Linked DNA regions of Arabidopsis thaliana. The protein of the gene in region 3 interacts with the protein of the main gene of each other region in a pairwise test. Each region holds a gene or a part of one and is shown on either strand. Other genes may lie near its edges. The genes, in order: BEE3, DPA and AT3G46600.

The links.
Region 1: the proteins of AT3G46600 (region 3) and BEE3 interact in a two-hybrid assay, tested with the Arabidopsis thaliana proteins (one large-scale study listed by BioGRID).
Region 2: the proteins of AT3G46600 (region 3) and DPA interact in a two-hybrid assay, tested with the Arabidopsis thaliana proteins (one large-scale study listed by BioGRID).

What each region holds. Positions count from the first base shown.
Region 1 is NC_003070.9:27,754,404-27,765,249, forward strand, and holds BEE3 (BR enhanced expression 3), read left to right. Parts: upstream 1-5,537; 5' UTR 5,538-5,623; coding exon 5,624-5,995; intron 5,996-6,105; coding exon 6,106-6,222; intron 6,223-6,310; coding exon 6,311-6,376; intron 6,377-6,450; coding exon 6,451-6,519; intron 6,520-6,622; coding exon 6,623-6,700; intron 6,701-6,859; coding exon 6,860-6,943; 3' UTR 6,944-7,153; downstream 7,154-10,846. Other genes in the region: AT1G73810 (Core-2/I-branching beta-1,6-N-acetylglucosaminyltransferase family protein), read right to left, coding at 191-805; AT1G73820 (Ssu72-like family protein), read right to left, coding at 1,337-1,557, 2,040-2,185, 2,541-2,793, 2,990-2,999; ESP1 (hydroxyproline-rich glycoprotein family protein), read right to left, coding at 9,534-9,659, 9,897-10,085, 10,463-10,543, 10,658-10,846. UniProt on the Arabidopsis thaliana protein: Positive regulator of brassinosteroid signaling.
Region 2 is NC_003076.8:539,217-550,062, forward strand, and holds DPA (Transcription factor DP), read right to left. Parts: upstream 5,740-10,846; 5' UTR 5,499-5,739; exon of another isoform or gene 5,214-5,498; 5' UTR 5,208-5,213; coding exon 5,089-5,207; intron 5,002-5,088; coding exon 4,940-5,001; intron 4,857-4,939; coding exon 4,813-4,856; intron 4,574-4,812; coding exon 4,502-4,573; intron 4,414-4,501; coding exon 4,273-4,413; intron 4,179-4,272; coding exon 4,110-4,178; intron 3,889-4,109; coding exon 3,790-3,888; intron 3,712-3,789; coding exon 3,641-3,711; intron 3,548-3,640; coding exon 3,346-3,547; 3' UTR 3,102-3,345; downstream 1-3,101. Other genes in the region: AT5G02460 (Dof-type zinc finger DNA-binding family protein), read right to left, coding at 333-1,475, 1,786-1,842; AT5G02480 (HSP20-like chaperones superfamily protein), read left to right, coding at 8,936-10,462. UniProt on the Arabidopsis thaliana protein: Involved in the regulation of the G1/S transition. Increases the DNA binding and the transactivation activities of E2F proteins after heterodimerization. The complex DPA/E2FA promotes cell division and acts as a regulator of the endocycle.
Region 3 is NC_003074.8:17,152,517-17,163,362, forward strand, and holds AT3G46600 (GRAS family transcription factor), read left to right. Parts: upstream 1-5,407; 5' UTR 5,408-5,531; coding exon 5,532-7,283; 3' UTR 7,284-7,449; downstream 7,450-10,846. Other genes in the region: TRFL1 (TRF-like 1), read left to right, coding at 1,126-1,206, 1,301-1,865, 1,933-2,076, 2,163-2,225, 2,315-2,394, 2,478-2,674, 2,762-3,055, 3,123-3,186 and 1 more; AT3G46610 (Pentatricopeptide repeat (PPR-like) superfamily protein), read right to left, coding at 7,708-9,705. UniProt on the Arabidopsis thaliana protein: Probable transcription factor involved in plant development.

The DNA.
Region 1 (10,846 bases), on a different chromosome or scaffold from region 3:
AAAACATATGGATGTAAGTATAAATATCTAAATTCTAGTATATTATCTAGGCTGAATAACCCGAATATCGCAAATATATCTTTAAATATCTATATCAAGATTATCTAGGCTAATTAAGTTTATCTATGAAGAATTCGACTATATCAATTATATAATCTGAGGGGAATTAATGAGGAAATTGACTACTGACCTTGCTTGGAATCCTCCGGCGATAAAACGGCGAAGTTTCGGGCGTATGATCGTCAAAGTAAAAAGGGTCACTCGTATGAATGTAAATAGAGAAAAGACCTTCATGGCCTTTGAAAAATCTCTCCCACAGTTTAGCCAAAGGAAGCTTCCCTCTCGTCAGGAACATAAACGCCGCTTTCTTTGTCATCTTCAACGTCTTTTCTTGAATCTTCGAAGCACGTAGCAAGAGTTCCTCCTCCGTCATGTTATGCACCACGTTCTCCGGCATCATCAGATAATGACCCTTTTGCCCTACTTCATGGTCATCATCATTAGTCGCAACAACCGTATCATTCAAGGGAACGACTATTTCTGGCTGCGGTTGAAGCGGTGGTGTAGAGAAGGATGATGGGGAGAGTGAAGATAGACGAAAGAGTTGAGGATTGAAAGAGACGTTTCTTATATGGACGTTGAGTATGAAGCCGAGTCCGAATCCGAAACCGATAAGAAACGAATACAAGACGAGGTTTTGGAAGAATCTATGAGATCTTAATATCTTGGATATGACGATTTGGTGAAGTTGATGACGACTTTCTTGTTGAAGAGAGTCTTCTTGCGTTTCTTGGCTCTTTTTCATTATTTTGTGAGTCTGCTGAAACTAACAATTAGAACCGTGGGACGTTATATAGTCAAGGTTATGAATTTTAAAGAGACTTTTCGTCATTGGGTGTCTTTAAATATCTGATCTCACGGGCTTTGGATTTAACTAGAAACATTGAATTGACTTGTACAGGATTTTAGGGGTAGGGTTAATTCAATTGGTACACGACTTGGGTTTTATATAAACACGTTAACTTAGATTGTGACATTAAACATGAAGTAATGCTTGGTTAAGACATGTCGTGTGTCACCTATCTTTTATATTTTTATTACTTTTTTTGACAAGGCTCTGTTTCAACTTTCAAGTAATGAGAAACAACACAAGAGAATGTGTTTGGAAGACGAATTCTCAGTTTCTAACATGCAATTTCTTCTACACTCTCAAGTATTTAACCCTAAAACATATAAAACCGATGAACTAAAAATAATTTGTTCAACATCTCAAGACTGGGGTCACAGAAGAACACTCTACATAATCTGACCGTTAATGCGACTGATGATGGTATCTTCAGTAGAATGAGATGCTGTAGACCAGTTTCCGCCTGTGTTGTTTTTCAAAACCCGCAACAATGTCATCGATCGTATCTTCCCATGTTTCATTCCCTTCAATCTCTTGACAGAGTTCCAAGGCAAGTCGGCCACCTATAGCTGCTTCTTCGTGGTTATCTTTAACCTCCAAGTTCATCACAAGTATTGTTTTCGTAAGTGATTGTTCTCTGTTGTTGAGATCTGCAGATTGGGGACAAATCTAACTTGATGAGATAAAGATATTAAGACACAGGAATGTTTCACGCAGCAAGAAAACCGACAGTTCTATCAAACCATGATTGCAATCGGGTTTTCAGCTAACAATTACAGCAAGGTAAAAAAGTAAACTAAGTTACAGGAAACGGCAATCACTAAGCAGAACTTTTGAGTTTCACATGACTTAGACTTCATCAATTCACATATGTAAACATCTAACCTAACTAGTTTAACATAATTTACCAAATGAGAAGATTGTTCGGAAACAATGCATGTAGAAGATCAAAGTGTCAACATTTCGATTTTCTTCAAATGGGATAAGTTGATGAACAAATCTACTGATACCAGGATTTTTTTCTTCCAATGTTATAAGAGTTTGTGATCAATATGTACGTAGTGAGCAATCAGGATGAAGCAATTTTCAAACAAAGTATCTAACTGTAAAATAGGGAGGATTTTTCAATTACCTTCAAGGACTGAATCGAAAACCTTTTCTTCAAAAGTCATAACCACATCAAACACACCATCACCAGCATTATCTTGCCATCTTTGAGGAGCAAGTTTCACGGATAAATTCCTCTTAATCATCTGCAAAATACCATTCCGCTTGTATCTGATGAAAACAGTTAAGTGCATCAAACTTCAAGCTTACAAATCTCCCTATACAACCCAATGAACATGCTTCACAATAGCTACAAGCAAGAAATTTCGTATATTTACTAAAACGCACACACTTTTTCTTCAGTCATTTGGAGAGAAGAAAACATACTTTTTCCCAGAATCAATACCTTAAATCAAACCAAGAAACTTAAATGTGAATTAGGAAACAATTTCAAGGAGACTAAGAAAGTAAGCAAATTATCGAATTAGAAGGAGACTGAGACTGATTCAGTGACCAAAGCAAACTTAGGGATTCGAAAAATCATGATCCGTAAGCAACAAAAGAAAGGAACGGATTAAGAGGATACAGTTCAGGATCTTTGCGCCTGAGCTCATCGAACATCTGCTTGTAAGGAGTTCCAAAGTCGTAAACGTTTGGCTCTCTCAGAGATGGTCCAGGTAGTTTTACATGTGACCCAGTCCCGTACGAAGCAACGTCGAGTCCTTGTCTCTTAAGAAGAGCGTGAGCTTCCATGCTCCGGTTCTGATTCGACGAACAAACCATTGCGTACCGGAACCTCATCGGCGGCGTCGAAGAAATCTGTGATTTTTTCCCGGCGACTGTGACGGTTTCACAAGTTAAAAGTCGATTTCAGAGATTTTTAATAATGCGACGGATTGAATTGGGCCTGAAACTGATCATGGGCCGGACTAAGAGATCGAATATTTTTTTTCATTTTTGCTTTTATTGACCCACGAAAATTGTTTGGTTTTACATTTAAGCTACTAATCAACATCACAAGAGAGGACTACCTACCAATCAACATCACAACAGAGACGATTGCCTAAACCGGGTCGGCCTGGACTCCAAGGTCGTAGAGGAGGCGGCTATACAAGTACCGGGACCGGTACAGGAGCCGGTTCAAGAACTTTTGGATTAAACGGAAGCGAACCAAACAGTTTTAAGAGTAGAAGAAGTAGTGGACGTGGAGCGGCTGGACATGATGATAGCATCGTTGAGGAGTACTCGAGGAACTCCATTTCGATGTCTTCCTTCGCCGAAGGTAGATGAATATGAAGATCAAAACATGTAAGGTCACCCATATTTACGTGTATATATATATAAAGAGACAAAGAAGAGGACCTTTTAAATTATATGTTTATGGATCGTTCGTTATATTTGAGATCTTAATACATAATTTGATATGAATTAGCAACAGAAGAAAATTTGTATTTTCGAAGTTTATGTTTATTTTGCGTAATCGAGTCTGATTTAGTGGAGCTGTATTAGGCAAACCTAGGTAATATGTCTTTCAAAGTAATAATTTTTATAGGTACGATAATTTCAACTTCAAGTTCCATCTTCCTAAAGAGGAACAGCTTGGCACCAACCTAATTACAGACTATAGGACTTTTTGTTTTCTAAGTAAAGAGATAATTAATTAATGACCATAACAAAAGTTGAACAAGCTAAGTATTATTACTAAGGAAGTTTAGTTTCACATGCAAAGAAGTCGAACTACCGGTTTTTTTTTATCAGAGTTTTCTTTAAAACCAAAACTAAGCTATGTAGTCTTATACTATGTGATATCGTTTTCCGGTTCCGTTCTATTTGTTGATTTTTTTCGATTGGGTGTATCATGTGTGTAACAAGTCAGGTACATGCCTAAAACCCATCAAACTAATAAACCTCAAAATGTATTTAAAATTGAAGACAAAACATTTTTTAGTAAAATTCTTTTGAATGTTTAGTAGTTACTACTCTTTTAGTTTTTATGGTCTCAAATTTTACAAATTTTTTTTTTGACTTTTTCTTTCTTTTTTTTTTTTTTTTTTTTGCCATCAATTGACTTTTTCTTTCTTACAATTATGTTTTTGTTATTTGTTTTGTTTTTTTAGACCCAGTAATACACTCATGGTCGGGCCTGGTATGTTATGTAAAGTTTGATATGTAGCATACATCTTGTATTCAGTTACTGTTTTCCTCAGTTATGTCGTTTTTGGATTTCTTTCTTCAAGTTGGGGTTTGCTATTTGTTTCAGTTGTAAATCAAAAACTTTGAATTGGCTGCTATTTTTGTCCAACACTATTAGGGACTAAAGACTCGTTCAAAATCTTATATATGTCGTCTGTTCCTAAAAAGCTTTGGAAATTCAAGGGGTTTTATTTTATCAAAAAGAATTAAAAAATCAAGGGGTTTAAAAAGATTGTCGAACAATTATTCAAAAGATTTGACCATTTATGCTTGTTATCAGCACTTCCGGTGTGTCAATTAGTTAAGTACTGTATTAAAAATAACAATGCCTAAAGTCAAAACAACAAGTTAGATTGAGTCTTGAATGCATATGTAACTGCATGTGATTTGATCAGTTGAAAATGGTATATAGTGATAGGTCAATTTACTTAATTTGATAGGAACCTAATTGTACTATATAGTAAAATATACCAGAAAGAAAAACGTTTTCAGAAGTCTAGAGACACCAAACCAAGTTAAAACGAACTTATATTGATTTCGACATTTTAAGTTTCAACTTAGACCACATTTTAAATTTCAAAGTAGACCTAGCTAAGTTAATTAATTATGTTTATTCAATAAACTATAAATATAGATAAATCGATCATGACATGTATTCTGCTACTAGTTTGTGGCAAGGTGGTCGATACGTCTTAATTCGGATGTAAATCTGCATAATCCACATATTGTTTTCCAAAAAAAAAAAAAATTATAAATAGCCAACATTAATTTAGCTCGTATACTATCACATCACATTATAAGTATCATACAAAAATATTTCTTTTGTTTAACATAAATAGGTACTATTTAACTAAAAATGTTAATACTATTTGAAACCAGTGAATATCATCAATCAAACTATTCTTGAATATAATCCATACAACTTTTTATTCTTCTTACCAAAGTGTTTAATACTAAACGGTAAAATAACTAAAACTGTATAACCAATGAAATCTTAAATCCATATAGCAAATGCAATCAATGTACGATAATAGGATTGGATTACTCGCTCGTTGGTCACAAATCACAATAGACTAGAAGAAGAAAGCAGAAAAGGGAGCACCAATTGAAATAAAATACTTTGTTGAGGAGGTCTTAAGTAAGTACTTCCCCCTTGAGAAATAATGAAAGAAGTTTGCTTAAACAGTGCTCACTGGTCCGGCTACCAAACGTTGGCCCACTTCTCTATTTGGATATATCTCCTGATAAATTATGTGTGACCCACTCCTATACAAAAATCCCATAACTCTCACTTTCATTGGCCCTCCTTTTTTATTTTCTCATCTTTTTGATTAACCCCACTTTTATTCCAATTTTTTTCAAAAAAATAATAATAAGAAAACTCTAGTCTATATATAAACATTGCCACTCGCTCGAAAACAGCCACTTTCTATTTTCACCAATTTTCAAAAAAAAAATAAAAATTGAAACTCAGAAATGGCGAATCTCTCTTCTGATTTTCAGACATTTACAATGGATGATCCCATAAGACAACTAGCAGAACTGAGCAACACGCTTCATCATTTCCAAACATTTCCTCCTCCTTTCTCTTCTTCTCTCGATTCTCTTTTCTTTCATAATCAATTCCCTGATCATTTTCCCGGAAAATCTCTCGAGAATAATTTTCATCAAGGGATATTCTTCCCTTCTAATATCCAAAACAACGAAGAGTCTTCTTCACAATTCGATACCAAGAAGAGAAAATCATTAATGGAAGCTGTTTCTACGTCGGAGAACAGTGTCTCTGATCAAACTCTCTCTACCTCTTCTGCTCAAGTTTCCATAAATGGAAATATTTCGACAAAAAATGTATTTTATTAACCTAGAAACCCTAATTTCACACACATATATTAGAGTACTCTCAGTTTCTATGAATTAATCTAACTTTGTTTTTCTCTTTTTTCTTATTGATATCACAGAATTCTTCAAGGAGAGGGAAGAGGTCGAAGAATAGAGAAGAAGAGAAAGAGAGAGAAGTTGTTCATGTTAGAGCTAGAAGAGGCCAAGCCACTGATAGCCACAGCATAGCAGAACGGGTAAAATTGATTTTCTCTATACAAATTATAGTGTACATAAATAATATAAATGAAAACTATGAGTAAAAAAATTAAAATTAACTTTCAGGTTCGACGAGGGAAAATAAACGAGAGATTGAAATGCTTGCAAGATATAGTCCCCGGATGTTATAAGGTGATTATATTTTGCTTAGACTTTAAGAAAATATATTATTAGTTCTTTTATTGAATATATATTTGGTGATGCAGACAATGGGAATGGCTACTATGCTTGATGAGATAATTAATTACGTCCAGTCCTTACAAAATCAAGTCGAGGTATAACAATAACAATTAATTTCTCTTAAGTTATAGGTCATCTAACCAATTCCATTCGTTTCAATAATTATACTAATTTACTTTCTTTTTTATGTGAACTCAGTTTTTATCTATGAAGCTTACAGCAGCAAGTTCGTATTATGACTTTAACTCGGAGACTGATGCTGTGGAATCCATGCAGGTACAGAATCTAGAATTATAACTTTTAATTAAAATTTTCTCGTAAGACTGGTGATGTTTGCTATGATTTATTTATTTCTTAATTTAACTATATGGTTTGATGTGATTATAATTAGATGATTTAAATATCGATTTTTAATTGGAATATTAAAATGCGCAGAAGGCAAAGGCACGTGAGGCAGTGGAGATGGGTCAAGGGAGGGATGGGAGTTCTGTCTTCCATTCATCATCGTGGACCCTTTGACTTTTGTTTTTTGCTCTCCTTTTTTTGTCTTTCTAATTTTCTTCCTTTTTTTGGATTTAAAAAGATACTTTTAAAGATTAATTTCAAGAAATCTCGATGCCATATGATATGTATACTTGTGTAACTTCGACATTACAAATATATATACTGCCTCGAGATTGCATTCAAAGTGGGGATACATAACGATCAAAATTTTACCGAGCAGACAAAAGTCGGAACCACAATGAATTAGTGTCAGTCTATCCAACCATATTTTTGACATAAGTTTTAGTAAGATCCCACAATAATTTTGACAATATGATTGATTCTTAAAGTGTTTTGAAAGTTGTAGAAGCGAAGCCTCCTCATCAATCACACTTTAGAGAATAGTAATGAGGAATGTTATTTCGGCTTAGCTAGTTAAAAACTATAATACGATTAGTGTATAATAAGTTCGAATATAAGCCTATAAGGCAGTTTATAGAAAATATAAATCATGTTGTCACGTAAATGTAGTATCAAACATTCAAACTTATTATTTTTTTGTATGAAACAAAGAAATATATATCAATGTTAGTAAAAAACAAGGAAAAATACATATAATCTCTTCAAATTTTCAAATCAGCCACAGCTGGAAAGCCTTGAACGTCCAAAACAATAGTCATCAAATCTCAGTTTTAAGAAAAATAAAAAGAATATTTAATATTTGGAAGTGTCTACATTATATTTACAACAATATAGATTAAATTTTTGCATCAGCAACTTTGATTGAGGTCAAATAAAGACAAGCAAAGATGATAAACTTGAACAACAACTGGACTTGGACATCAGGAGCAGTGGAAGAAAATGACAAAAATACCCTTCACTTGTTACTATCGAAAGAAAGACATAATGATGTATGTCTCCGAAACGAAACACAACGACAAAGAGAGGTTTTATGCAATTTGTGAAAGAATGTGGATTGTAGACTTTGAAGGGACGTGTTTAATCGTTGAACAACCAAAGATTTTTCTTCCTTTTTTTGTGTGGACTATGTACTTATCTAAACATAGCTTTAATTTCCTTTTATTGAATGAATTATTGCATGAATGACGGTTCCATAGTTCATAGACTGTGATTGATGTTCCCAATTCATTGTAAACATGATTGGGAAGAACATTTGTGAAACTTCTAAATATCTGTTCTTCTTTTAGCATGTAATAATACTACTAGTTTGTATTACTATTAGTGTTTCTGTTTCATCATCAATAATATTAAATTTCATTTTCCTTTAGTCCATTTGGTCAAATTTATCCATGGCATGTGTACTCATAAATGGTCAAACTTATAAGAGAAAACTCCAAAAAGTGGAAGTGGATGATCCATGGCATGTGTTGCTCTCAAAATGGTTGTGCCTTAGTCTAGAGCTTTAAAGATGAATTAATCTCAAAATAAATTAGTCGAAAGCAGAAGATAAAACTTGAACATAGAAAAGGAAAAATTATATATAACGAGGAAAAAGAAAAAGGGGAAATAGATGCAATGTATGCATCCATGAAACTAGGGAGGACAGCTTGAAATGGACCATTACATGCCCTAAAGAAGATGGAAATATGTGGGGCTTTTTTCTTCATTTTCATCTTATTGCATATATTTTTATATAAAAAATACATCAAAATGCCTAATTTTGAATAGTTCAATTGCATAGTGGTTGATTGTTTCTAGTTCTACAGGGATATTACTTTTATTACAACATGGTCTATGAAAAAAATGATTTACCTTTTGGAAATGATCAACAAATCAATGAATCCAAACTTTCTAAGATATAAGTTTAAAGGTTCTCTTTCATGGTTAGACCTTAGAACAAATGTTTAACACATTAATCAAAAAAATGAAAAATAATTCAATATATTGTTGAAGGGGATAGTTTTGGGAAACAAATAAATATTTGGGACCAACAAGTATTCTATTAATAGATTTGGTGATCACATCATTTGGTGGCAGAGAACAAAAATGGGCAAGTTCAAGGATCCAAAAACATTGTGGGAACCACCAACCACCAAAATTTTGGAAGTGACTCCATTTGAATGTGGAGGAGTTGTTTAGCTCCTCAAATCTCTGAAGTCTTAACACTTAAGACACTTAACCCACAAAATCTTCAATTCCACTTTTAAGTATTCTTAATACTTTCTTAATATTTTAAGTCATATCTACTAAAACAATTGTAGTAACAGTACAGCACCAGAAACATGCAGACGATTTTATTTTTCTTAGAAAATTTATGATCAAAACATGTATGCAATTACGATTTTCTTCGCATAATTTGTTTTCCTTGGAACAACTGCAATAAAAGAGTGAAAAAAGAGTCTGCAAAACAACTGTAAGCAAGATTTCGTAACTTTGAAATTCAGGAAGAAAATTGTTACTGAACATTAAATCAAAGAGAACACATAAATTTTCTCCAGGGGATATGACCAAAGGTATTTAGTGATACCTTGAACTTTGAAAAAATCTAATTACTTTTCTTCTTTTTACAAATTATCCCAAACTTAACTCAGGCCTTACATTCAAAGCCAAAACCTGTCTCTTCAAAGTTCTAACATGGAGGAGACCAAGCGATTATCTATGAGATTCACTGTCGGAGAATCTGTTGAAGCTGAAGGACTTGGTTTCTCTGTTCTGGTGGCAGCAGATTGATCTGCTCTGGTGTAAGGCTCATCACTTGTTGAAGTAGTGCCTTCTCCATCTCTGCAGATATCTGCACAAGTAAGAAAAACACAATCATCAGCAAAAAATAACAAAAGCTCTTTGCTCTGTAATCAGAAATTCTCATTTTGAATTCCGGCAAAAGACAACTACAACATCTACTGGAAAGGAACGTCGAATTTGATTGATTTGGGGGGGCTAATAAAACTACAGAGTCATCGACATGAATATACATCCTAGCAGTAACAGCGGTTCAATGGCTGTGCCTTGCAGTTAAAAGATAAATTACCGGTGCAGGGCGAGGTGGTGGGCCACCTCCAGGCCCAACTTGGCTTGGTGGAGGCACCGGTCCTAAGCCTGGCAGATGAGTAATGTTCGAGCTCTCTGATTGGCCAGCCATCCAAGAAGGACCTCTGTCTTGAGCCATCAGACCTGCTAATTGGTTATTGTTGTAGTCTCCACGATATTGACCTCCTCCCTGAAACAATAAACAAGATTACAAGCAGTGAGACCCAAAAGCAAAACCAAAAAGATGTAGAGTTTCCATTTAGATGATTTATTAATCTAAAGCAGAACATGATTTTAACGGAATCAGAACTAGAAGTCTAGAAATATGATGATAGCTTGACAATGAAAAAAGATGAGAAGAATTATTGCCAGAAGAAATCATTTCTCATATCTGATTAAGAATAACAATGATAGATGTTTGAGAGAATTCTCATTAAAGGGTAATCTCTACTCGTTGAAGGTGTAGTGCTCGGAAGAAAGCACATAGATAAAGCAACATAATTTCATACTCAGTCTGCAAAACATCAAACATATCGCCTAAAGGTCAAAAAGTAAGAGTATCAATACCTGATATGTTGGCTGACTAGGCAGATGTGGCTGTCCCTGCGGGAATTGAGGTCCACCGGAAGCAGGGGGTCTGTTGCCTGACTGCAAAATTGGCTCAAATAACGAGTTCTAGTCAGTCAAAAACTTCATAATTCACAATGAGGGAAATAAAAGGAAACCGACAATAGCTACTCATAAGTCATAACTCTGACTCACATGATACATGGGTTGAGAAAGATGCTGAGTAGGTGCGCCATGGTGCTGAAATCCAGTGTTTGGACCAGTTTGAGCTTGTCCATATTGATGATGATATGGTCTAGACTGTTGCTGTGCCACATGAGGACCTCCACCAGAGTGCATTGGTTGTTGTTGCAACTGAGTGGAGGAAGCTGGTATATCAAGATG
Region 2 (10,846 bases), on a different chromosome or scaffold from region 3:
GAATATGTATATATAACCTCATTCAAAATTTTGAATAAATAAAAATATGTTATATAATAGAACACATTACACGCATGTATGATGATATCTTCATACTGAAAAATGAAAAATAAATTCTGCAACAGAAAAAAAACCCTAATTTTAATAGAAAATCCAAAAAAGAAAACCCAAAACTAGTAACGAAAATTTAATAGAAAAAACAAAAACCTAGTATAGATCGATCGATGTACTAACTTCAAACTAAGTACATAAGATCATACCACACCCAATAAGAAACTAATAAAAGCATAATTGCATCATCACATATATTGATCACTTAGAGAGATGATTGTTTATATATTGCTAGTAGAAGAAGAACTGAAATTATTAGAGACTTCACTCCACGAACTTGTTGCAGCTGCGGTGGATGCTGCAGCAGCGCCATGAATATTCCAGAGCTGTTGTTCGTCTCCAAAAAGTTGTCTAGACAAGTTGAGCTGATTGTTACTATCTTCCATTTTCACTGAAGCTAATTGCGACGCGGTGGCTGTAACCATAGCTGATGAAGCAGACGAAGAAGAGGAGATAAGGTTATGGAAAATGTTCTTAGGTCGATACTGACCCGACCCGGTAACCAATCCGTAACCTGGATTCTGCTGCTCCATTTGATGTTGTTGATCAAACGGGTCTAAACCGCCTAAAGGAAGTTGGTTTGTTGCCGGGAATCTCCACTGGTCAAAACCGTTTAAAAGAGCCGCCGCTCCTCCACTGCTTCCACCGCCTATATGATAAGAAGGAGCTGAAACGGCACCGTATTGTAAGGTGAAGTTGTCTGTGAAGTCTAAAGGAGGCATAAGCTTAAGAGGAGGCAAAGATGATCCAAGTCCAAGTATGTTGTTGTTATTGCTGTTATGATCATGTCCGGGGATTAACCCTGCGTTGTAAGAAGACAGCAACGAGCTTAGAGACGATGACGAAGAAGGTGGTCCCATCTGATTGTTAGCCATGGCTCGGTGGTGGTATTGGTCGTTGCTCGTGGCGCTGTCTTGTGACTTGCTGTTACCGCTACTGGTGCTACCGCCACCTCCACCGCTGCTGTTTTTGGTTCTTTTGTTTCTACGGCAACCGCCACCGACGGGAACGCTCCTTAGAGCACCGCCACGTGTCCAGTAACGACGGCATGCTTTGCAGAAGTGGCGAGGTTGAGTGAGACTGTAGTTGTTGAAGTAACAGAATTTGGTGTTAGTTGAGTCACATCTTGGACACTTCAAGGCTGTTTCAGGTAATGGTATGTTGGCTAGCCTTGCTCTTTCCGCCATCGAACCTGGTCGGATTAACCCGCCAGGTCCACCGGGAACAGCGACTCCGCCGTTACCGTTGTTGTGGTGAAGCTGCGGAGGCGTTTGTTGCTGTTGCGGTGGGAGGGGATGGTGAGGAAGAAACTGTTGGTTGATGTTATTTCCCGTGAATCCAACGGTGGTTGTGATTGGTTGATGCTAAAGAGAGGAAGAAATGATTCAAAAACAACACAAAAAGTTTTTAGAATATGTGAAAATTTTGATAAAGAAGGAAAGAAAGAATTAATTTTATGAGTATATTCAAATTCAACCACAGATATACAAAGATTAAAAGTGACAAAAGGAACAAGAATATTATTATCCTTTTTTCTTGTTTGTTTAATCTCTCTTTATGTTTTTTTTTCTTCTTCTTTAAATTGGTTCTTGAGTACTCATAAATTATAAAACCAAAGAAAGCCAACAAAAGCCATTTAGAGTAAAAGAAGAGATAATCGGATCATGAACTTACTTGTTGTTGCCAGTTTGATGAATGATCAGGATAAGTAGGAAATGAAGAAAAAACCATCTTTGATCTTTCTTCTTTGATGATATCTTCTCTCTTTAGTTTTCTGTTTTTTTTTGAGCAAATAAAGGATTTAAAGCTGATTTTTTTTTTGGTGAAGGCTTATATGAAGAAGTGGAGAATTACATCAATAAAAACAAAGGGAAGAGCTTTAGAGAGAGGAAAGAAGAGGAGATGAGAGCTTAGCGAAAGATAGAGAGAGAAGGCAAAGGTAAAGGAAGAACCTTTATTCATTTATATACATACCCACACATATACACATATATATATATATATAGAATATGTTTGAATATCATATTAATTATATATATAGATGAATAAAATAAGAATTGAGTGTGTCCACAGTGTTATTGCGAGGCTCTTTTTGTTTTATATATTATATACATATTTGCTTAGGGTTTTGGGAAGGTGGAGGAGAGTGAGTGTGTCCGATTGCTTAACCCATAAGTTTCTTTCTGATTCTCTCTTTCTGGCAATACTGCTACTTCTGTACTATGTGTGCAAATTATACATATACACAGTTTTAGAAAATAAAAGAAAAAAGCACTTAGCTTGACTGGTTGTATGGTTTAAACTTTAAAGTCAGTAAAAATCAGAAAACATTGATGTACGTCAAGATATTTAGAAACGTTTTAATTAGCATGCAAAAAATCGAAAAATAAAATAAAAGATGATAAACGTTAGGATTGGATCTAGGTGACGTTAGTACTTAGTGGTATTCAAGAGAAAACTGCAATTGTGATATATCTTAGTTGTTCTATAAGAAAATTAGGGCTGATATGATATCTACTGCTTTTGTGGACTATATCAGCTACAAATCTAATTATACAGAAGAGAAATTGGTTGTGCTTGAATTTTAGTACGTCTATATACCTCAACTTTAACTAAACAAGTAACTAATAGATTGGACTAAAATGGGCCAACACTAATTACTAAATAATATTAGATGATATTGATTTAAAATGTATTGAGAATGAGTAGATTAAGTTGATGAAAAGAATAGTATATAGTATTTATTTTGACGGCAATTGAAAAACAGTCCAACATTCTTCCGAAGTGTCCCCAACCAATTTCGCTTTTCTTTCCCTCGAACCGCCGCGATGTCTCTTTTTTTCCTTTTCCAGACAAAAAACATTATTTTTGCATGGGAATTGCAAATTTTGAACTTTCCTAGCACACGCGCCATTTAAGCGCGTAAATTGAATCTAACTAGCTTCGGTAAACCAACCTAACCGGAGACTAAATTTGTTAGACCAATCAAACAGAAGGAAAATAGCCAATAGATTCAACACGGTTAGTTTTGGTTTAAAACAATAGTTTCTGTTTCCGTTGAAATATCGCATCAAGTTCGAATAAAAAGGAAAATTGGATAAACAAACATTTGTTGGCCTATGAATTGATTTTACAGTCTCTCTCAATTGAACACTAAACCAGATGTATAATTTTTTAGTATACCAATTAGATCATTACTTCTTCTTCTTGAAGAATTTGGGAATAGAAGCTCGGTCAGCGAGTATCAATGGATCCCGAGTTCCAGCAAACCGGGCCTGAGGTTCCAGAAGCAATGCAAGAACTGGATGAAGAATGAGCGGAGCTATGTTGAGATTGGTGATGTGTAGATGAAGAAGAAGATACTCTGTTCTGTTCTTGCTTCTGTTCTTGCATCAGTTTCAAAATGTAAGCATCATCATGGACCGAGAAAGGTGTGCTGCTCACAACAAAATTTACGAAGATTTCAATTCCGATTTAAGAGATAGCAGAACTGATTTTGATTTTGAGAAGAAATGTTGTTTATTTTTACCTATTGAAGTCGAGGTGTACAAGTTGCATATCTTCAGAAATCTCGATTTCGACTACTGCGTGAGGGTTTGTCTATAGAGATGGAAATAGATTAGGATATCGAAAAACATGAAATAGAAACTACGGACGAGAAAGAGATTTTTGAAGTACCTCAAGTAGAATGAATGGTAAGGTAAATCCTTCTGCTGGGCCTTGAGTCTTCACAACCATCTCTTGATTTCTCGACATAAGACTCTCAAGACTTGAGACCTGATGATAACAACATTTGAGTAACATTATAAGCAAAACGTAGAAAGACGGTTTAACATTTCATTAAGACAACATAAAATGATTCAATACACGACGTATCTATGGATTCTAGAAAACCTGCAATATCAATAACTTTTGTCATCTATTGACATGCATAACAAGATCTCAAATTCTAAGAGAGTCTTGTATTTAAATTTTCCATCAAACAGAAAGAAGATCACCTTTTCTCTCAACTCTTTAAGAAAAGCAGCCTTCTTTTGCACACTGCTCATAACTTTATTACGATCCATCTGCAAATAGAGGTAGAGAGATTAGTAGAGAAGACGAAGAGAGAGAGCAATTACATAGATGAGATAACTGAAAGGAAAAGCTTGGAAGCTAAACCTTGACTTCTTCCACATCCTTTTTGCAGGTAATAGGAAGTCCTTTCCACCGGATTTCCTTTTTATCCCTTGCAATAATATCCAACGCCATGAACACATTGAGCGCATCGTAGACTCTCCGCCTTATGTTCTTCTCATTGTACTGATTGAACATAAGAGAATGTTGTTATAGCTTTTTTTTTTTCCAAATAACTCAAGACAGATGATATGAGCTTTCCATCTCGCTATACCTCATTTTCATTCAAAGGCTTCTCTGCGTTTTGCTTAATTGTGGCAAAATCTGAAATAATTTCGTCTGCAACCTGGAATCACAAGAGCCACAGTCTCAAACGTAGATTTTCACATTTTCTGATACAATGCCTCTATATAAGGGCAAGACTCCTGATTAGAAGAAGAATTTGAGACAATGCTCAACAACTAACTTAGAGGATTGCTTCTTGAAGTGAATACTTGTTCATATAAAGATCAATTCTAATGCGTCTTAAACTGAAAACTCATTGATTACATCACCAATTCCTTAATGGAACAAAGAGAGTAATACCTCCTTGTAAGTAGTTATCTTCTTGGCTTCCAACTTCTGACAAACTGTGTGAAGTTAAATCAAAATCAGCAAAACAACAATACTTTCACTTCAGGCATGTTTGAGCTAAGAGAGATATATCACTGACCCATAACACTGAATTGACGAAGCCCGCCTCCAGAAGTTCTTGATTGCCCTTTCTTCTCTGATCTTTTAAACACAAATTCAATACAGACATTTTAGCTCCAAGTAAAAAAACCAGAGACTTTGTGAGTAAGAAGAATAATTAACACTGACCCAATTTCAGAATCATCATCAACAATCAATTTCCTTCTCACTGGAGTTTTCTCAACGCTCACTGAAGGATGTTGCCTCTGCTTCTCTGGAGTGACAAACAACTCCATCTCCATACTCATCCTTCTCTACACAATTTACCAATTAACAAAGTTAGCTACACGAAATCAAATCAATTAGTTGTTCATGTCTCAAATCCATCGTTGACTAAAACCGATGAATCAATAGACACAATCTAAAAAACCCTAAATTGTTGACAGCTCCAATTTCAATTTTTTAACAAAAGCTAAACAAAATTTATGAAATGGGAATCATCAACCAGTTGGATTAGATCTAACGATGGTGAAGAAAACCCTAGTTCAGAGAAATAAAGGCTAAAGCTCGAATCCGTTTCAAAAGATCAAAGAACGAACCAGTGATCGATCTTCCAATGGCGGAATAAAAAAAGATGGAGATTTTTTTTCTAGGGTTTTGGTTTTACTCTTTTTATTACACAGAGATGCGAACAACAACCAAAAAAAAAAAATCGGAGATGAAATTACTTTGGGTGAGAGTTCCCGCTATAAACAAACAAACAAACTGTAACAACAAACAAACACAGAATTCTCCATAGCCCATCAAAAGCCTCAACAAAAACAAAACACACGCACTCTCTGTGTTCGAACCCAACCGCTACGGTGTCGTTTTTCAACTTTGGCGGGGGATTTAAATGGGCCTTTTGTAACTCTTTGTAATTTTAAGCCCGTTGGGCTAATTATATGTCTAAAATCGATCACGTATTAAACTCTTTGATAATCGATAACGTTACCAAATAAATAATGAAAATTTGGCTGTCTCTATTACATATGTTGACAGTTGTGTTTGTATTCGATCCAATTGTTTAAAAAATAATAATATTAAGTTCACTGAATCTTGAAAAAATGTTTGGTACGTATGCATTTAAGTTATTGAAAACATTATCGCTAGCTTATAAAGTTTATGATTTTTTCGTCTTATATATAAGACATGGTCCGTATCATCAACTTGTAACTATTAAAAAAAAAAACTCACTATTCTCATATACTTTTTATTTCTTTTCTAAGATGCTTATAGTTTTACACGTTAGTGCTTTAAGCCTGCAACGTGTGAGAAGGTTGCGTTGCACTTTCACTAGATCGAAAGAATATATGCATAGTTGCTTGATCCTTTTTCTTTTTCTTCTTTATACGATGATCGTACTCGTATAGTACTGAAAACTATATGATAAATTTCAGCATAACTGTTTGTTCAAGTTGTTAACCGATTAAAAGCTTTAAAGTTTGAAAAAGGATATGTTTATGATAATTGCAACCACTTGGTACTTGCCACTTGTTCTCCATGATTGTTTTTTTTCTCTCCATATGAAGATTAAATTAAATTATTTTGTTTGTAGTTTTAACTAGTTCGAGTTGATAAGAAAGTTTGGAGCATGGCCATGAGAACCAAAGCTGTTCCTAGTTCCTACGCTGCTTGATTGCGGAGAGTCATTCTCTTACTCATTGCTTCATCATCATTTCCAACCGTTTAGAGTTTCACTAGCCATGTTTCTCTTCTTCACCTCTTTTTTTGTTTAACCTTTATGTATACCTTCCTTCTCGTATACCTTAATCAGACCGGTATGGACTAATCAATTCCTCATGCTATTCATAGCTATGCACTATCATAAGATTTTGAAACAATATAACTTCAAATTTGATTTGTTTACTTTGATGTTTCTATGTGTTGTCAGAATATATAAATATATGTTTTGTCATTACAAAAAAAAGAAATAGTGTGATCTATTTAAATGTTTGTTTGCTGTTTGTATATCTGTCGTTGTTTTGGGAGATGAGAGGTGGCAACTCCCAATATCTTTTTGGGGTCATCTTCAATGTCTTCTCAGATCTCAATTATTGAGTTTTTAAAGTCATGTTTGATTCTTTCTTCTCTTTTTTTTGGTTCACTAATTCTACTCTTTAATTAGTCTTCTTTTTTTGTCAACTTTCGTTTATATCACATAAACAATTATATCTATTGCAGTAAATATATTATTCATAATGTTCAAGTGTCCCTTGAGGAACTGAACATACAATAAACAAAATAATGTTACCGTATCATATGGTATGCGTATTTATTCCAGTAGCTTTTTCTTTCTTAACATCTGAAATCTAGTAGAGTAATAGACTATTTATTTAATTTTGGAAATTTAATATGTTTTTTATATTTTTCCTATGTTTGCCCAAAATTGTTTTTACACAATCATTACTCGCCTTCATAAATTAAAAACTGACATGGTGAAATACATCAACAAGCTAATATGATACTCATAAAACTGACTCAAAATGCATTTTTTTTTTTTAAAGTAAAAAATATGTTGTCCTCGTAGTTATCCTCAAACTCTTTGATTCGATTGTTTTAGAATTTATAATACACTTAGATAGTCAACAAAGCTGGATTAGTTAATTAAATTCGTAGGCCGATGTATACTAAACACTGATGATGACGCATAATCCTACTTCAATGGATAAATAACTATACATAAAAAATAGTATTAATTTTGTTACACTCACTGGGGGCACAATAATGCAATTCGTCACTACAATTGATTTAAATAATATTTTAGGATTAGTAATCATATCACTCAACTAATCACCAACAATGTCTCCACATAGACCACAACTATCTAGCAAGATTATAACAACACCTATCACAAACAAGAGTTTTCGCTACATATACAATACATACAAAAAAATCATATACACATCGGTAACGAGAAATCATACATATATCATACACATAAAATTCAATTACTCACATCAAACTCAAGACACATCATAATTCTATTCTTGATATATAAAAAGTTGTTGCTTGTAACAAGATAGATGCGAAATTCGGTTTATTACAAGATGATTAAATATTACTTTTTTTTTTTGAAAAGACAAAAGTTAACCGGTTTATTTCCCTTAATTATTTTTGGCATTTGAATGATATGAAGCTTTTTATTTTGTTTATCTAATTAAAAAATTCCGCAAACCGGTTTTAATTATCAAATTTATTGGTTGATAAGCACATGTAACACCACGATAAGCAAAGCATAAAATCGTAAGAGAGAAAAAGAAACATTGTTTAATTTGTCTAGATGGAACCTATAAAAATAAGACTAGTTAATAAGAGATAGAGAGAGAGAGTGGGGATCAGGTGGTATCTAGTTCAGGCTCCTTCTCTCTTTTTCTCTTTCACTCAGCCACGAACGAACCTTCCCCTTAATCCAATCTTCTTCTTACATAAACACCTCTCCTCCCCCACCGTTTCCAAAAGAGAGAAGCTTTCTCACTAACACCAAAAACAAGTCTTTGAAGAAGAATAAAAAGATTGGATTTTGATAAGTTTAGTGAAAATGGGGGAGCTTTTGTGTTCTTCACTGTGGAACCCGTCACGATTCATTGTTGCTTCTCTCAAAAGGTATTTTCTGGGTTTAGCTTCTTAGAGGTTCTTCGTTCTTAAAGGTCTGTTTTTTTTTAGGTTGTGATACTTTGAATGTAAAAAAGGGAAGATTTTTAGTTTCGATATGTATATCTCTCGGATGGGTTTGAGTCGGAGTTTCCCGCCGCTTTTTGGGGGATTTCGGGAAATTCTAGGGTTAGGGTTGGATATTGTCTTCCTCTAGCAGTCTCTGCCACTTTTAAAATCTCTTCATCTTTCTTTGAGAGTGAAAGAGGTTTTTTTATTTGTTTGTGTCTTCCTGGGAATCGAGATTCTGGATCTTAATCAATATGTGGGTTAATTGGGAGATCTGGGATTTGGGAGATCTTGTGGTGGATTGAAGAAAAAGCAAGGTTGTAGATTTTGAAAAATGAAAGGTTCAATTCTTACTGTTTTGTCAATGGAGAATCATCATCCGTCAACGCTTTTATCTATGGATTCTAGTGGCTCATCTCATGAAGAGCTTGATTTGGAGATGAACAATGGTAATAGGCAAATCACTCTTTATAATCCACCAGACATTAATCTGCCTTTGTCTGTAGGAAGAAGCTCTCCTTCTTGGAATTTGGATTCTTGTGATAACATTTTGGATGTTGGTCTTAGCTCTCATGTCTATGAGACCGAGACGTTTCTCAATGTGGTCCCGAGTAAAGTAGCTAAGAAGTGTTTGAAACGAGGGGATAGTATGTGGGGAGCTTGGTTTTTCTTTAGCTTCTACTTCAGACCGGCGTTGAATGAGAAATCCAAGTCTAAGGTCATTAGGGAAAGTGGTGGTGGTGGAGGAGGAGGAGGAGGATGTTTTACTGGGTTTGATAAATCTGATCTCAAGCTCGATGTTTTTCTTGTTCAGCATGATATGGAGAACATGTATATGTGGGCTTTTAAGGATAAACCTGAGAATGCGCTTGGGAAAATGCAGTTGAGAAGCTATATGAATGGGCATTCTCGTCAAGGTGAGCGTCCGTTTCCGTTTAGTGCGGAGAAAGGGTTTGTTCGGTCTCACAGAATGCAGAGGAAGCATTACAGGGGACTCTCTAATCCTCAGTGTCTTCACGGGATTGAGTTTGTGGCTTCGCCGAGTTTGTTTGGTGTCGGTGAAGAAGATAAGAAGAGATGGATGGAGCTCACGGGTCGAGATTTGAAGTTCACTATCCCTCCTGATGCTAGTGATTTCGGTTCATGGAGAAATCTTCCCAACACAGACATCGAGCTAGAGAGACCAGCTCATGTTACTAAAGCAGCACCGAATAACGCCAAGAAGATTCTCAATGGCTCCGGCTTACATTTGACAAGCAATGCGTCTTTCAGTAGCAATGGGGACTCGTCTGATCAATCTCCAGGAGGAGGAGTCATCAACAACAAGAAGAGAAAAGAGTTTCTATCTCCTGGAAGCAGCGAAGAAGAATGCTGTTTGACTGTTAACAACATCGAGACCCACCACGCCAAGGACCCGCCCAGTTGGGTAAACGACTTCACGGGAGTGATGAAGAATAGCTGCGGACCTGTAACTGCTGCAAAAACCGTCTATGAGGACGAAGAAGCTTATCTGGTCGTAATAACTCTACCATTTGTGGATTTGAACACCGTGAAGGTTTCATGGAGGAACAATATCACAAATGGAATCGTGAAGGTCACGGGACTAAGCACTTCGAGGGCTTCGTTTGTGAAGAGACGGGACCGGACTTTCAAGCTGGTTGATCAGATGGCTGAGCATTGTCCTCCAGGGGAATTCATGAGGGAGATACAATTGCCGAATCGGATTCCGGAAGAAGCAAATATTGAAGCATACTTTGATGGGACTGGACCAGTTTTAGAGATTGTGGTTCCAAAATTGAGAGGAGGAGTGGAGGAAGAACACGAGGTTAGAGTTTGTCTACGGTCACACCACCTCGGATGAAAGATGCAACCATGTTTTAAAGTGTTTGTAGAAGCATTTTGTTGTGTACAATGGGGAAATAAGCATAAGCAAAAGCAGAAAGTGCTGTTTTTTAAGTATAACTTTTTCACTTTAGTTTTTTTTTTGTCTTCGTTTCTAAAAAGTATATTCTTCAGAGCAAGTTGTATTTAACCACAATTTTATTTGATTAGTAAACACTATTTTATTTATAAAAAGGCTAAATTGTCTACAACAAAAAATATATGTAACAAAGGTTTTTCATATGTAAACAAAGTAAAATATAGGTTGTGATCATCAAACATGATGTAGTGGTTTATTTTTGTTTTATCTCCAAAAGAAAGTAGTCTTACTTTTATCGTTCTCACTTTTTTCTAGTTTGATCAC
Region 3 (10,846 bases):
AATATTATTATCATGACAAGACGAAATTTACTCAAAAGGCTACGAACCAAAGCCATGTGATGACTACATCAGTACCACGTGTCAAGATCTAAGGACTTAACGAGTTACGAGTGTGTCGTGGGCCATCGACCATGGAAAAGCAACGAGTCTTTAGGTGAATGTTTTACTTGCTATAACCGGTAACAACGGGTCTGGTAATACCGGTAGCTCCGGTGGTTGGTTGAGTTATATGGCTATGGGGGTTTAAGCAAGAAAGACGTGGTCGTGTTCTTCTTATAAGGGTTTTTGTTTATAATTTGGTAATCGAAAAAGAGAGATTTGATAAAATCCTTTGTGTTGAAGGAAAAAAAAATCATATAGGTAACGTTTGATACAAGTAAAAAAAAAAAATTTCCATCACTTTCTTGGGTAAAAAAAACATGGGTTAGAGGAAAAACTGGGGAAAAGATTTTAGATTAAGTGCGTAAAGAATTCTGATTCCTTCGTCTCCGATCTCTCATTTTTCTGGAGAAATTGTCAAAAATTTCAGATATCTATATTGTCTTGGAACTGAAGATTCATCGAAAGGTGAGAAAGATTTAAACTTTTTTTGATGGTTTTTGTGTTCTCGATTTTGTCAAAAGTTTTTGTGTTTGTTTGATCATCGAGAAACTTAGTAAAAATTCATTTTTTATGTGAATTTAGATTTGGAATTTTCAAATTCAAGTTCTTTTGGTTTGGATCTTAAAAGGGTTTTTGTTATCTTTTTGAACTTATCATCATCTTCGATTGAAATTTTTCGTTTTCTTATATGATCAGAATCATCTCATTCATCGATCTGTGAACTCCGATCTGAGAATTTGAAAGTGTCTCTCTTTTTGTTCTAAGTTGATCTGTTTATCCTTTAATTCAAAGATCGAAGCTTTTTTATAATTGAATTACGTTTTGTGTTCTTCAATTCGGATCTTGTGTTTATTAGGGTTTTAGAATGGTTTATCAGATTTGATTTGATATTACCGATCTGTGATTCTTGAATTGAATTGAGTCTTCTTATGGTTCTTGTTTCTTATATACTACAGATTGGTGAGTTTTATTCGCTGCTTATCGCTTGTGGCAATCACATCATCTGTGTTATGCATCCAAGTAATGGTGTCACATAAAGTCTTAGAATTTGGAGATGATGGTTACAAATTACCTGCTCAAGCTCGAGCTCCGAGATCACTCCGGGTAAATGACCCTTTGCTATATTCTCTGTTTAGCTGTTAAAGAATTTATCAGTTACATGAATGATCACTCGCATGTTTGTTCACATTTTTGCTAGAAGAAGCGCATTTACGAAAAGAAGATACCAGGAGATGATAAGATGTGCGCGATTGACTTATTGGCCACCGTAGCTGGAAGCTTGCTTCTCGAGAGCAAAAGTCCGGTAAACGCGTGTCTAGTTGTACAAAATACTGTAAAGAATGAATACCCGGCTGATGAAAACCCCGTAAAGGCGGTTCCTTATTCGGAATCCCCGAGCCTATTTGACAATGGCAAGTGTGGATTTAGCTCTGTGATAACAAATCCTAATCACTTGTTGGTAGGTGACAAAGTAGGAAAGGAGGTGGAGGGTTTTAGTAGTTTGGGTGTGAGTGGTGATGTAAAGCCTGATGTTGTAGCTAGTATAGGTAGTAACAGTAGTACCGAGGTGGGAGCATGTGGGAACGGTAGTCCCAACGAGTCTCGGGATGATGTAAATTTGTTTAGTAGAAATGATGATGATGAAAACTTTTCGGGTTACATTCGAACTCGTATGACTAGGCCTGTGCCTCGTATTGGAGACAGAAGAATTAGGAAGATATTGGCATCTAGACATTGGAAAGGAGGTTCGAAGAACAACACAGGTAAAATCGCCTTTTGTTTTAGTTTTGACTATCTTTATTATTGTGATTTGATGTTTGGTATTTGCAGATGCAAAGCCATGGTATTGCTCAAAGAGGAGTTATTACTTGCACCATCATCAGAGGAGTTATCCCATCAAGAAAAGGAAATACTTTGACAGTGTTTACGACTCGAACTCTGATGATTACCGTTTGCAAGGAAAGACTCATAAAGGTCCAAAACTTGTAATCTTCTCATTCTCTTGTTAGTATGTTGTAAGTCTTTGCTGTTGTAACACGGTTTTGCAAATTCATCCGCAGGAAGCAGAACAATATCTTCCATGAAAAGTCGAAATGCGTCCTTTGTGTCAAGGGATCATCATGGTAATTTAATGGAGTCTCAAGTCTCAATCTATCCTTTGTTCGCTTATTGTTTCGTTGAAATATTTTTGTTTTGTTTTGTTACTCTTTAGTGAAGCTGCGGATCAAGTCTTTTAGGGTGCCTGAGCTTTTCGTAGAGATTCCAGAAACTGCTACTGTTGGCTCCTTGAAGGTGTAATAACAAAACCTAGTTGTGCTGAAAATCCTGATCAAGAAGAACTTATATTTGTATTTTTGTAATGTCGGGGTTGTCAGCGGATGGTGATGGAAGCAGTGACCACCATACTGGGTGATGGACTTCGAGTCGGGCTGATGGTTCAAGGAAAGAAAGTCCGAGATGATGGCAAAACTCTTCTTCAGACTGGGATCTCTGAGGAGAACAACCACTTGGATTCTCTTGGTTTCAGCCTTGAACCTAGCTTAGAGACCACCCCTCAACCACTGTTATCCAGGTTCACTCTTCTCTTCACTCTCAGAGATGCCACATCGATAAAAAATCAATCTTTTGCGGCTTAAGGGCCTTGTTTTCTCTCTGCCAGTTATCTGTCAGATCATGCCTGTGATGATGTGACGTTATGCCACGACAATGCGTTGGATTCTAGTCATGAGCCAGAACCATCCCCAGCTGACTCATTTGGGAAACTAGGCACAAGTGATCATTCTAGAGCTTTGATTCCTGTTGCCTCAGCAGCAATGCTGGCTCCTCGGCCTCCTAACCGTAAGTTTAAAAGGACTGAGCAGCAGCTAGCTGCACAACGCAGAATTCGTCGACCTTTCTCAGTTACTGAAGTAGAAGCACTGGTCCAAGCCGTTGAGAAACTCGGAACCGGAAGGTACAAAACAAAGAAATAGCACTTTCTCTTCTTCATGTTGCTGACAAAATGTGTTTGAAAACTACAGGTGGAGAGATGTGAAGGTTCGTGCTTTCGAGGACGCAGACCATCGTACCTATGTTGATCTCAAGGTTAGTTAGTTTTTTAACTAACTCTTAACCTTAATATATACAGTTTGGTATTGAGTCTTTGCCTTTGTAGGATAAGTGGAAGACGCTGGTCCACACGGCAAGGATATCTCCACAACAGCGGAGAGGAGAGCCGGTGCCACAGGAACTTCTGGACCGTGTTTTGAAGGCACACGCTTACTGGTCACAACACCTAATGCATCAACTGCAGACTGAGCCACCATCCACTCAGGTAGAGGCTCTCTAATCTGAACAGGTTCTTGGTCTAAAGAACCTTTGTGTATTATTATGATGATCCATATTGTAAGATTCTGACATAGTTGAAGATCTGGTCTCAGTTCTTCTTTGTTTTTTTTTTTCTTTCTTTCAAATGTAAAGTTTTATAATTGGAAATAAGGTTGGGTTTTTTCTAACAATGTAAAGGATTTGTTGTAAATCTTTGGTGACATTTTTATTCTGTCTATATGATTTATGGCTCGGCCTATCATATCACAACGACAACGAACTGATATATATATACCTCATCCAAACTCTAGGAGTGCTGGAGAATTCAATTGTTGGATAAATTGTTACTCAAGCTGGTCTATGTTTGGTCAGTTTATGGTTCACATGTGTCCTATATTAGGAAAGAATACACAGAAGCTTGTGCTTGTGAGTGGTATGTGTGCTATGGTATTTACCTTAAATACGGGTCGTTCAGAGTAATAAGCTGGTCTCAAAGCCTCTTTTAAAGGCTATAGCCACAAACAAAGGCACAAAATCCTGGATCTCTAACCAGTAAAGAAGTCGATGTTGAACTAAAGTTCGCAAATATTTGCAGATAGCATTGAGTAGGCAAGCTCTTCCCACTTTTTTTTTTTTTTTTTTCACTGAACTGTTGCCTTTCATTGAATATTGGAGTTTGTGAAAAAATTTAAAGCAATTAGCAATAAAATCAAAAGGATATTGAAGTTTACATTTGGACCTGGACGAGATAATAGAGGATAACGTTCAATTTATTAGAAGTTATGATGACTGATATATTTACCGATTTAAAACTAATATATTTAGCAACTTGACGCAGCAAGAAAATTATGATTCTTAACTAATATACACCATATTATATATATTTAGAAGATTTAATTAATATTTAAAATTATGCTTTTTATTTGATTTTGTTTTAAATCGTCATATAATACATAAAATAAAATCAAAAAACAATTTTTTTTTATACATATATTGTGATTTTTAATTTTAAACACGGACACGTATTACCCAATTGACAAAATAATGTGTATGTTTAATGTTCCACATTGACTAAAATATTTAGACAATGATTCAGAATCATATCATATAATGAATATTTACAATAATAAAATAACTGGGTTTTTGTTGGAATGGGTTTTGCGGAACGGATTTTTGAATCTACATTAATAACAAATTAAAATATCATTAATCTGCCGTTTCAATACATATTAAATCTTTTTTTTAACACCACTAATATTATACATATCAAATCAGTCTGATTTAAAAAAATATATATAAAACCAAAATGTCTCATGGTATAATGTTACTATATAAAAATTGTAAATTATAAAATATTAATGTCTTAGAGAATTGTATAATTTTCAAACTTTTATATATAATAAATAATCATTAAATTTTAAAAATCACTACTTAAAAAAAAAAAAAAAATCAAGGGACAGGTTATACAATTAAGATTTACATCTTGTTTTTTTTTTGGAATTTTGGTGATGTGGTAACAGACTACTAAATAGTTTACGCGTATTATATGCAAAATAAATTATCAAACAAATATATTGTAGTAAATTATAAAATTTACTATATTATTATTTAAAAACTGAAATTTGCTTGTGTCTTGTAGAAAAAAAAACTGAACCAAAACAAACTTAATTTACTTCGAAGTTTTATATTTCGTTATACAAAAAGAAAAAGTCTAAATTTCTAAATACATTTAGAAAATATATTCAAGGTAATAACTAATAAGTCAAATATTTGACCAGACAAGTGACCAAAAGGAAGACAACAACAAGAAAACAAATAGCTTTTTAGCCATTTGGACCCACGACAGTAGATAAAGTCTTGGACATATTATTACTAACCTTTTGTGGCGGCTTAGTGTTTATCTTCAACCCCACACATTCTCTGTTTCCTCGAAACTTCATTTTTCTTCTTTGCCAAGACAAAGATTAAATAAGACAAATATCAACCCTATCCTTTGTTTATATCAACAACATCTCGCAACTTGTGTTCACATGAAACTTCTCACTACTCTCTTTCATTTCCTCTTTTCGTTGACTTACTAAAGTACTCTTGTTTCAATCTTCATTCTAGAGAGATTCTGTTTCATGGATGCTATTTTGCCAGTACCCGTTGATGGGTTCAGATTCGACACCGGTTCTGGATCTTGTTGCAAACCGAGGAACAATCTTGAATCTGGGACGACCAATCGTTTCACTTGTTTCAACGAATCTGAATCTCAGAGCAACCCTTCTCCGACCGAGTCTAAGGTATGTTCAGATTACCTTCCTGTCTTTAAGTACATCAATGACATGTTGATGGAAGAAGATCTTGAAGGTCAGTCTTGTATGTTGGAAGACAGTTTGGCTTTACAAGCCGCAGAGAGATCTTTCTTCGAAGTGCTTCAAGATCAAACTCCAATCTCGGGTGATCTAGAGGATGGTTCTCTTGGAAACTTCAGTTCTATAACGAGTTTGCATCAACCTGAAGTTTCAGAGGAGTCAACCAGAAGGTATCGACATAGGGATGATGATGAAGATGATGATCTTGAGAGTGGAAGGAAATCGAAGCTCCCTGCGATTTCTACGGTGGATGAGTTAGCAGAGAAGTTTGAGGAAGTGTTGTTGGTATGTCAAAAGAATGATCAGGGAGAAGCAACAGAGAAGAAAACAAGACACGTAAAAGGCTCATCGAATCGATACAAGCAGCAAAAGTCAGATCAGCCAGTAGATATGAGGAATCTTTTGATGCAATGCGCGCAAGCTGTGGCGAGTTTTGACCAGAGAAGAGCTTTTGAGAAACTGAAGGAGATAAGAGAACACTCTTCTCGCCACGGTGATGCGACTCAAAGACTTGGTTATCACTTTGCTGAGGCGCTTGAAGCTCGTATTACAGGAACCATGACTACACCAATATCTGCTACTTCTAGCAGAACATCAATGGTGGACATTTTGAAGGCGTACAAGGGATTTGTTCAGGCTTGCCCCACCTTAATAATGTGTTATTTCACTGCAAACAGAACAATCAATGAGCTTGCTTCCAAAGCAACCACACTTCACATCATTGATTTTGGGATTCTCTATGGATTTCAATGGCCTTGTCTGATACAAGCTTTGTCAAAACGTGACATCGGACCACCACTGCTCCGTGTGACTGGTATCGAGCTTCCTCAGTCAGGTTTCCGTCCATCAGAGCGGGTAGAAGAGACCGGGCGAAGACTAAAGAGGTTCTGTGACAAGTTCAATGTCCCGTTTGAGTACAGTTTCATAGCCAAGAATTGGGAGAACATAACTCTTGATGATCTGGTGATCAATAGTGGCGAGACAACAGTTGTCAACTGCATCCTCCGGCTACAATATACACCTGATGAAACCGTGTCCCTCAACTCACCGAGAGACACGGCTCTGAAACTATTCAGAGACATCAACCCTGACCTCTTTGTGTTTGCAGAGATTAACGGGACTTACAATTCACCCTTCTTCCTAACAAGGTTCAGAGAAGCTCTCTTCCATTGCTCGTCACTCTTTGACATGTATGAGACCACATTATCAGAAGACGACAATTGCAGGACACTGGTGGAGAGGGAACTAATCATAAGAGATGCAATGAGTGTGATAGCCTGTGAAGGGTCTGAGCGGTTTGCAAGGCCAGAGACCTACAAGCAATGGCAGGTTAGGATTCTAAGAGCAGGATTTAGACCAGCGAAACTAAGCAAACAGATAGTAAAGGACGGGAAAGAGATAGTGAAAGAACGTTACCACAAAGATTTTGTGATCGACAATGATAACCACTGGATGTTTCAGGGCTGGAAAGGAAGAGTCCTTTATGCTGTTTCTTGCTGGAAACCTGCTAAGAAGTAATAAAACAGTTCTGTAATCATTTGCATAATTTTGCTAGCTTTCCATTTCTTTGTTTTTGGTTTCAAAGTGTTGTAGAAACTGTTTGCTCTCATATATATTGAATGAGTCTCTCTCTTTCTCTCTACTTTCTTGCAAGTACATATGGCAAACCAAGAATTCAAAACTTATTTCAAAAAGATCCATAACTTTGAACTGAACAAACCAGTTTGCATATCAATGTGTCTGATGATAATACAGATGTTGTACGAAGATAAAAATTCACAATATAAACAGAGAGACTAGACAAACTAAAAAGAGTATTAAAGAACAAGAAAGTGATTACTTGGAAACTTTCTTCTTCCCTGTAATGGCAATTTTCTTGCCTTTAAGGGTCCTTGGATGCGCCTTACCCCACGGTAACCTTGTACAATGTGTTTTCGTCAGACTAAGGTCTATTCTTTTTGTCTGGTCGAGGACCCAAAAGATTAAGATCAATGGTGGCTCCATAAGTCTCAGCTGATTTAACAACCGCATCATATGGCTTAGAAGAGAGTTTAAGCCCTTCGTTTTGAGCCTTCACATGTAACTCATAAGCAAGCCTTGGCTTTGCATCATTTGCAAGAGCCTCAATCAACATCTCGTAAGTTATCTCGTTAGGCTCAACATTCTCACTTTTCATTCTATGAAACCACTCATAAGCCACACCACTTAACCCGTTCCTCGCGCAACCACTTATAACCGCGTTGAAAGTCACAACGCTCGGTTCAATACCCTTTGAAGCCATTTCCTTGAGAAGGGTATCCAAAAGATTGAACTTTTGCTGTCCTGTCAAAACTGAAGCCATTGTTGTGTACGCGTAAAGATTTGGCTCAATCCCTACCTTAATCATATGGTTCCAAACCCGAAACGCCTCATCATATAGCTTCCCTTTCTCAAGAGCACTGAGTAGTGCACCGTATGAGATGACCGTTGGCTTTTCACCATTGTCAACCATTGCTTTAAAGATTTGGATCGCAGCTGTGGTCTCAGAGGCTTTTGAACATGCTACAAGAACCGCGTTCCAATGTCTCCTCTGCGGTTTCAATCCTTTATCTTCCATTTTGTTAAGTAACCTAACTCCCCATCTCCATATCCCTCTCTTGCTAGCTGCACTCAGCAAGATATTGAAATGAGAGACCACTAACTCATAAGACAAATTGTTAGGTTCAGGTCCTTCGTCAAGAAGATCCTCGTAGATCTCCAACGCTGCCCACCATTTCTTAGCCTTACCCATCAGCCAAATCAAATGGTTGCAAACAGACAGACTTATCTCAGAAAACCTCTCTCTGATTCTTTTATACAACTCTTTACCAACAATATAATGCTCTTCACGAGTACATGCCCATATAAGCCTCTCGTGCTCTTCCCTACTCGGTCTAACCCCTGCACTGTCCATTGCATTCAAAAGCTTCAACACTCTAGTAGTCCAATTATCATCTTTCACCAACCACCGCCTCATCACTTGGTAGCATATTCTACCAATAAAGTTCTCAAGCTTAACAAACTCAAATTCCCAATCGTAACCAACATCATTCCCTATTTCCCTCTTTGCGTATTTCTCTCTCAATTCAACAAAGAACTCTAAAGCTCCCATACCGTCTTCCATTCTTCTGTAAACAAGCAAAGCCGTTGAATATGTAATCGGGTTAGGCTCAAAACCCTTTTCCTTGGTTAAATCAAGAATCCCAAGAGCCTTGAGAAACTCACCTTCCTCCATGTAAATAACCATCAAAGTATTGTAAGTAACAATGTTTGGAACAATCCCTTCTTCCTCCATATCTTTCAGTATCTTCTCTGCTTCCCCAAACCCTCTCATAGCACCCAAAAGGCTGTTATATATAAAAAGATTTGGACCTATGACACCGCCTGATTCACTCTTCTTCCTCTTAAGCCAATCTACTACAGCTACCGCAGGCTTCAATCTCTTGTCCTTGCCAAAACCCTTTATCATAGCACAAAAGACTTGCAGAGGCAACTCTCCCTTGTCCTTGAGAACAGCATCCACATCATCAGCTGTCTTAGCAGCTCGTAAACTAAACGCTAATTCTCTAACATCAACTCTTAAATTGTTCTTTTCTCCTCCATTTGCTGAACTTAAATCTTCCGTGGAAACTTCTTCTTCCCCGAGCTCGAGCTCTCGTTGCTCAGTGGCCCATCCTACCCCAAACGATGATCCCAACAAACTTCTCTTTGGCTCACACAAAAACAGAACTTTCCTGTTACTCGAAACGAAGATGAAGCTAGAGATACTACTACTACTACCGAAGCAAGCCTGTTCAAGAAAGCAAAGTCTCTTTCTAGTAGTCTTAGGGCTAACTACAAAACAAGAACAATCCAACTCAAATTCCAATCTTGATCCAACTAAAAGACCAGACTTTAATGGCAAAATGCTTAAAGCTTGCATCTTTTTCCAAACACAATCTCACAACTAGCGTTATGTAGCATGGAAGCGTCAAAAGACACACGATTTCACGCTTCAAAAGCGCAACGGAAGCACTCTCTTCCAATTTTGCAAAATCAGAAGCGCAAAGTTCTTTCAGAAACTGAAGCGTAAAGATCTCTTACAAATTAATATTGAACAAAAACGAAAATTGAGGAGGGCTTGAAAATAACTTCAATGGCGGATTCAGAGCCGCGAAGAAGAAGATAGAATTTTTGTCTTCTTTTCTTTATGTGAAAACTGAAAATAAAATACTATTGGGCTTATGGGCCTCAATTAAGCATGAGATTTAAAAAGCCTTTTCTACAAATTAAAAAATTGCTAAATTAATTGTTTTTTAGAAATGAAAAATGTAATTAAAATCCCCAACTTATTGAAAAAGTTGATTTGGATCTTTAACTCTCGATGAAACGAAATAAATATCAAACTTCTATTTTTCAAAAATAACAAACTTTCGTTGGTTAAATAGGTTAACATATCCCGTTAACGAAGTTAATTTTTTGTCAATATACATGTTAACTGAAAACGACATTGTTTTCTATAATAACAAAATGACGTCTTTTTGTCGTAACGGATGAACGAAATCCTTAAATTCAATCTTATATCTCTAAATCGAGCAAAATCCATGATCCTAAATTTTCATATAATTTGACACTCGGGATTTTATTGAACAATTACGACAAAACGATGTTGTTTATTGTGAGAGGAAATGCTATCGTTTTCAATTCACAGGTCTGTTAAAAGAAAATTAACTTTGTTAACATGCTCTGTTAACTTACTTAACATCATGTCTCAAATTTGAATAAACGTTGAGATATTAAAAAATCTTCAATAATATAGGAAAAGAAAACTATCTCTGGTCGTGCATCGTGTGCAAAGTAGTCCATTCTCTTTAGTTTTTCTTTTTGGGTTTTCCAATATATATCTTTAACTAAAACAGAAATTGTAATACTTTTCGTAAAACTAAGTTTTCATATAGTTGAATGGACAGTGATAGGTGTACTAAGATGAATGTGAGTAGTGGGAACTGAGAAGTCTTCATAGGCCATGTCTTGTAAGAACTCACATGCTCACATGTGGATATGAAATTGGTCCAAAGTGTTTT